2 linked regions of the Astyanax mexicanus genome follow. The protein of the gene in region 2 interacts with the protein of the main gene of each other region in a pairwise test. Links are inferred from orthologs where the notes say so. Each region holds a gene or a part of one and is shown on either strand. Other genes may lie near its edges.

Region 1 (3,757 bases), on a different chromosome or scaffold from region 2:
TGTTCCTTCCACCTTAAACAGTAAATATATAAATACCAAATATATGTTGGTTTGTTTATTTTGAAGGCTACACTCACCTGTTAAAATGTGTAAGGAGTGGAGTAGTGATATATACACTGAATTTACACATACAGAAATTAAACTTATTTGAATCCAACCCCTTATGAGGAGTTAACAGTAAAAAATGTTAAAAGATTCCAAAAAGATTCAACCTAAATTTGAATCTTTTTGAAAACTGATTCAAACTAGTTTTCTACAGATTCGAATCTTTTTGAAAACTGATTCAAAGTACTTTTCTACAAATTCGAAACTTTTTGAAAAAAAAAACTGATTCAAATCTTTTTGAAAACTGATTCAAACTGTTTTTCTAAAGATTCGAATCAGTTTTCAAAAATGATTCGAATCTTTAGAAAAGTAGTCTTTTCTAAAGATTTCTAAAGATTTTCTGAAGATTCGAAAGTACTTTTCAACAGATTCTAATCTTTTTGAAAACTGATTCAAACTGTTTTTCTACAGATTCAAATCTTTTTGAAAACTGATTCGGACTACTTTTCTAAAGATTCTAATCTTTTTGAAAATCTGATTCAAACTGTTTTTCTACAGATTCAAATCTTTTTGAAAACTGATTCGGACTACTTTTCTAAAGATTCGAATCATTTTTGAAAACTGATTTAAACTACTTTTCTGAAGATTCGAATCTTTCTAAGAACTGATTAAAACGATTTTAAGAAAATTCGAATCGTCAAAATAACGCAAAATAGTATGTGGGTGCTTTTCCATATTTTTAAATATATGCTAGATTCAAAATTTGTCTAATAATAGTAATAGTAACAGTTATTTGAATCACCTGCATAAAATATTTGAATGGTTTTAAGTGGGTAAAGAAACATATCGCTTTTCAATAATTATTTGAATCCATACCAGATCCCTGCAAATGAGTGTTTTATTACTTAAATATCAATACTTAAATATATTAAGAGTGACTTATTAGCAGCAAGTAACAAATCAAATTTAAAAAGTATCATACTTTCCATGTGCTGTAGGACTTTTGTTTTGAAGTGCGGCAGTGGGGAGTTGGTGAAAACACTGCGCTGTATAGTTGAGTTCGCGTTATACCGGAGAGTCCCTGAAACTGCGGAGCTGCTGCGGTGGACGGTCAGGAAATGATGTTCCTGACAGACTTTTAGAGAGGTTTCAGAGTCAGACAGCGGTTAACTGGGTACCATAACTGTGTAGACGGAGAGCGGGTGTGTGAAATGAGGTGTTGTGGGTCTCGGTGAGCGGGGTTTTGAGTGTGTATCGCTGCTCTGTTGCTGTCAGTCAGCGCCGGGCTGGGCTGTGCTGTGGATCGGCGATAGGAAGGAAGGAAGGAGGGGAAGAAGGGAGCCTGCGCACTGCGGGGCCACGGAGCGGACTGGAAGAGACACTTTTCGGGAAGTTTGTTTGGAGAGTTGTTTAGTTCTTGAACTATGCTATTGTTACACAAATTGGTTGCCAAGTAGTTTGTATTTAGCTAACTAAGTTTACACAGTTAAAGTCGGCTGGCTCGATGTTTGGCAGGAGTAGCGTTAGGTTAGGTGGGTGAAGATTTGATTATTTGTACGGTGCGAGTTGTTTCGCTGACTTTGGCTAGCCAGCTAGTTAGCTAGCGTTAGCTACTCTAGCTCCCCTAGCTGTCTGTGTCTGTTGCTGGGCTTCAGTTGTCACACTGGGCACGCACTGCTTGGTGAAGGAGGTTTTTATTATTGTTGTTCAGTAGGTTAGCTAGTTAGTTAATTGCGTTTTTAACCTGACTGTCCACCCCCTATGGCCACAGATGTGACTGAGGGTGAAGGAGGCTTAAAACAAAGTGGTAACCTTACAGCCGCTGTGATTATGAACAAAAGCAGCTCCGAGTCAGACACACCCAGGACACTGGAAACGCTGGAAAACAAGCCGACAGGTCTCCACTCGTCACCGTCTGAACCGGGAAACGGTGCGAGTAAGGCCGCCGTGGTGTCTGTGGAGAACGGGGACAGAGCAGCCCAAAACAGGCCCACAAAAACAGGAGACCCGCTACAGGAAACTGCAGCTCCGCACGATGGAGGAAACCAGGAGAGGACACGGACCCAGCAGCCCTCGAGTCCTGTTAAACTACCACAGGCACAGAGCTCACCCGTGGAGCACAATGGAAGGTAACTTATAGCGCTATTAGCCTCCGGGGTTGAAGTTTAAAAGCTAACCCGACTACCTTTTCAGAGCTGAGGCGAGCAAGTGTCCCGTCAACTACAGATTCGACTTCAGTTTCTGAATCAGTTTTACTGATTTTGCTATTTATAGGTATATGTTTGAGTAAAATGAACATTGTTGTTTTTTTTTCTATAAACTACAAACAACATTTCTCCCAAATTCCAAAAAATAGCCATTTAGAGCATTTTTTTGCAGTAAAAGAGAAATGTTGATTTCTGAACTGTTAAAACTTTATGAATATGAACATATGCTGCATCTTTTTAATTATTTGTGAAAAGGATGCAGCATATATTCATATTCATAAAGATTTAAGAGTTCAGAAATCAATATTTGGTGGAATAACCCTGGGCTTTTAATCACAGTTTTCATGCATCTTGGCATGTCCTCCTCCACCAGTTTTACACACTGCTTTTGGAACTTTATGCCACTTCTGGTGCAAAAAATCAAGCAGTTCATCTTGATTTGATGACTTGTGATCATCCATCTTCCTCTTGATTATATTCCAGAGTGTTTCAATTTGGTAAAATCAAAAGTGGTCTCTTATTTTTTTTTTTTTCAGAGGTAAACAAGATAAAAAGAAACACATTCAGAGAGCATAACTAGATAGGTTAGATATACAAGGGTTTACAATTTGTACTGTTTGCATAAACATAGATTTAAAAACTCATTTTTTACAAGTAAAACTGTTTACATTTTGTATAATGTAACTTTTGCAAATAGAAACTCTAGATTTCAGAAATCTATATGTTTCTACTTATTGCAAACTGTAATTCCAAATATCAAATACCATGTAAATAGGATATGTGAAGTGAGTAATTAGAATAATTTTATTCTATAATTGTAACCTTATTAGATATTTAATAGCTGATATGTGAAATGAGAATTTTCAAGTGAAAATTACACACAAATCTTTAATTTTAGTTTTTACTTTAAAAATTGAGGTAGAACTGCATTCGCTGGTGTCATTTTAGGTTAAGACAGCTTTCAGTGGAAAATAGGAAGTCAGCTATTCAGTGCAACCCCCACTCCCCACCCCCCTAGCTCTCAAAGGGTAAACAACTTGATCCCAGACAAATGTGCAGACATTGACAAGTACACTGTAAAACTGTCAGTTGCTTTGTTGTCTTCTTGAACATATGAAAATTAATGTGTTTAAAGTCTGATGTCCTTCTCTCTAAAGATAGTGCTGTATGCAGACCATTTACTCAAATCTGCACAGTTAAGCTACATGATGCTGTTTTAATACTGTGTATCAAAAGCCGTAGTGTCTCTAAAAAAAACATGATATCAAACTCCCTTTTTCCAAGGGGTCTTGGACTGTTTAATTTTATTGACTGTGCTTACTCAGCACTCTGGGCTCTTGTCGGTTGCGAAGGTTAGTGTGAATGATTACAAACGTCCCCCTTGAAAAGCAAGAGTAACACTACACAGATGGCATAGCAATTAGCTGTGCACGACAGTCAACTAGTGTTTGTGTGGTCCCCCACACTCACATCTGAGTGACTTCCTTTGAAATGGCTAAATACCT
Region 2 (3,757 bases):
GTACATAGTCTGTAATTTTGATACCAAGTTACATTCACTGGCCATAGTAGATAAAAACAGGACTTGCTAATGGGTGCAAAAGTCTGCAACAAAAAACCCTACAAAAATGTTTATTCTGCATGTACCATAAATGAAACACTTTGTTCATGTGTCTGGTATATAAATTTTGCACATATTTTGCATTATATGTCTGTACATATTTGTTTTATTCAACAACGAACAGTACCAGTCAAAATTTTGAACACACCTGTCTTTATTTAATTCTAGATAAGATAGATTAATATTAAAGACATTAAAACAATCAAGGGACACATATGGAGTTACATAGTAAACAGTAAAAAAGTGTTAGTCCTCCACATGAATCCCCTAATCTAAACCTGATGAACTGAGATGGTGATTTGAGGTGATTTAATTGGTATGAGCTGGAGCTTCACAGTGTGAAGGAAAAACAGCAACTATTGTTCAGCACCTCCAGAAACTCCTTCCTTCAAGAGGAGAAAACTACTTCAGGAGAGTCTCCCTCATGAAGACACTGAGATCTGTCCTCTGTCCTCAAAGATAAATGTGCTATCTAGAAGAATCTAAAGTATAAAACATGTTCTGGTTTGTTTAACACTTTTTGTGTTCCTATAGAGCTTTTTTCCAAACTTTTGACTGGTGCTGTATCTCAGTATATCTCTGCAGGGTTCAGGCATTAAAGCACACTTGCTCTGTTATCTGCTGTTAAGTGCTGAGAGAGCAGAGGGCATGTGTGAGTTACTGGGTGTAGCACAAGCTTGTCAAAATCTCTTTTCTCTCCTTGTCATGGGCACCATAATGACATGCACATTTAGTTCATGAATAAAATTTGAGTGTAGGCTATTTTCCAGCTCTTAATCCCTTAATCCTTCTTTATAGTCTCTGCTGTGACCTTCTGTCACACTTGAGACACAAGTACAAATTCACGTATGGTTACTACAGCACCACGCCTCAGACCTAAAGTTACTAAAAGTATGGGATAAAATGAGATTAGAACAGTAAGATTCTTAATTATTCTTAAAAATGCAGCACTGGTTCAGGGAAAACTCTTTTAGATCCATAATGAACCATGTTTTTGGTCTGTGAGGAGATGTGTTAGTACCTCGTAAGCCCTTAGACAAAGGCGTGGGCAATTAATTTTCCCAAGGAGCCACATAATAAACTGGATCTGTTTTGGAGATCCAGACCGACTGATCTCAGTTCAGCTTAAAGTTAATTACCCCTTTAAAATGGAGTAATTATATGGTTTTGATAAGCTAAAACTGGTAGAGACATATCATAATTTAATCCACATCCTCATAAACAATTATGTTTCCAATTAAGAACAGCATTAAATTCACTTCATACAAAGCACTATTGCTGTTTGGTTTATGGTGTAATTAGCTCATTTACTGTTTTTCAGTATTTTTTGCTTGTTCAGTAAGAGAAATCTAGTCTTTTTTGGGTTTTAACAAGCGCAGTGAAGTTCAGTGCAGTTTCTAAGGTGGATATGTGAAGGGCCGTTATTGAAAGCTATAGGAATCAGATGTGGCTTGTGGGCCGTACCATACTCAGGTCTGCCTAAGACCCAGTATTTAACCCCACACTCCACTCCTCCTCACCTTCTGAAAACTACTCTACTCTCACAATTAAAGTAACTTTATTGGCCCCAAAATAGAACCATGTGGGACTCCACATGATATGCTTAGCCCAACAGTTGCCAAATAATCTATACTTAATCTATAAACCTAGGGTTTAAGGGATTAAAGGTCTCAAATTACATAGCAAAATATTTCCAGAGCTAACCCAACACTTGGTGGAGTTTGCTTTTGTACAAGTAAGATCAGCTAGTTAGCTAACAAGTGACTAAACTTCCTTGTAATGTGAATTAAACTAACACTGCAGGACAGATATATTGTCTTTTTAGTTCCTTGTTTGATGCAGTTATTATTAACACTAAAGTTAATTTAGCTAGCTGTCATCATTAATAGCCAAATGATCCAAAATAGTTTTTTAGTCCTAAAAGCTAACTCTTCAGAAGAGTTCATTTGTAACACTACACACCAGTGTTAAGATCATTTATCACTGTTAGTTTTAGTGTTAACTCCTTACGTAGAGTCAGAATTAACTCTATGAGACTTTTTTAAAAGTGTTAAAATATAAACCATATAAATAAGGTCTGTGAATCACAGGGAATCTTACGATATGATATTATCACAATATGTTGCCCATGATAACGATGATATCACATGATAATTCTCTATGAATACCAGTATTTATTGTTTTATTGGTGTCAGTTTCACAGAATTTAACAAATAATATTTTGCACCGCAGGTTTATTAACCCTATTTATTAATTATAGCGCCACCACGTGGAGTGATGAAGCAGAAACTTAAGTAAGTTGAATTGGGAGCGAGTGTTAGGGAGTTAAGAGCGACTATGTTTCAATAAAAAATATTGGTATTTGATGCCACGTATCGATACGATAAAAAACCCTAAAATAGACACTTTTAAAGTGTTAAAATCCAAAAACTCTAATAGAGTTATTTTGAGTTTGCTTATTATGCATCACATTTTAAGCACTCAAGCAAAGTAGAATAAACTGACCTACCTTCACATAAAGATCAGAAACAGTCGTCATGCTTTCTTCTTTGAACCGAAAACTGTACCCACAAACTGTATCAGTATCCACAAAACAAGTGATCTGAATCACAGGCCTGAGAAGCTGCTGACCATATTTCCTTCTTCTCCACTCATTTCTAGACGTCTAACATGAAGCACAAAGCTGAGGGTTGTGAACCTCAGACAGGGAGTGAAGTAACTACTGCAGACTCACACCAGGACTTGAGTAACAGCCTGAGCAACAAAACATGGGAGAAGACAGAAATGTCATCAGGCAAATCGCTCCACTCCCAAACCACTCCTTCAGCAGGTATGAGGTGTTGAGCTAGCTCTTTAACGTGCTTTACCTGTCATGGAATAGACAAACCTGCACAAACAAAGGCTGTGTTACACCTGTCGTAATCATTTAAGCAAGAAGGCTATTGGATAGAAGCTCTCTGCCCATTCATTATACCAACCTCTGCAATCTGCAATCCAGTGGCTCATTATTCAGGGTATTTACTGTACATGGGTAATTAGAACACATTACAGACACATTCAAGACGAACACACTGTCTCAGTATGACTTCATGAGGATGAGTTTGTATTGTGGGGGCGTATCTGTCTCACAGCAACAGATATCTTGACTTAAATGTCTTTACAAACAACTTATGGTAAGCTACAGTGCCATACTGTAGGCCTACTGATTCACTGATTCAGCAAGAATTACCTTTTCTTTATGTAGGACATCCCTAGTGAGAAAAAAAGTATTATTAATCAATATATTTAAAGAGAGCTTTTTTTTGCACTTATTATACGTTAATTGTATAAAAAATAGTACAAAACTCTTGCTTAAATTGTGCTAAGTGTGCTTAACTGTAATAAAATGAAACAATTTTAAATATATTTAAGTAACATTTAATCATCTAAACTAATTCATGTATGTAACCCCATATTTTAAATATGCTTACAGTAAAATTATATATTATATTATATATACATTTAATAATGAGTATTACAACTGTATCACTATTATTATACACCAGGTATATTAGAAATGTAATAAGAATTGAAGTTAAATATATGTGATCCATTTACATTACAAATATATATACTTCTTGTTGCTGTCTTTTTAGTATAAAAAGTATAAAAAAATAGT

What was found.
Region 1: the proteins of myo5b (region 2) and bnip2 interact in binary tests that used the Homo sapiens proteins (3 or more experiments, as listed by UniProt). The two-hybrid records come from large-scale screens. The link is inferred for Astyanax mexicanus from reciprocal best matches to the Homo sapiens genes MYO5B and BNIP2.

Annotation. Positions count from the first base shown.
Region 1 is NC_064409.1:57,091,351-57,095,107, forward strand, and holds the start of bnip2 (BCL2/adenovirus E1B 19 kDa protein-interacting protein 2), read left to right. Parts: upstream 1-1,093; 5' UTR 1,094-1,806; coding exon 1,807-2,174; intron 2,175-3,757.
Region 2 is NC_064424.1:6,583,491-6,587,247, forward strand, and holds the start of myo5b (unconventional myosin-Vb), read right to left. Parts: upstream 2,844-3,757; 5' UTR 2,639-2,843; coding exon 2,609-2,638; intron 1-2,608. UniProt on the Homo sapiens protein: May be involved in vesicular trafficking via its association with the CART complex. The CART complex is necessary for efficient transferrin receptor recycling but not for EGFR degradation.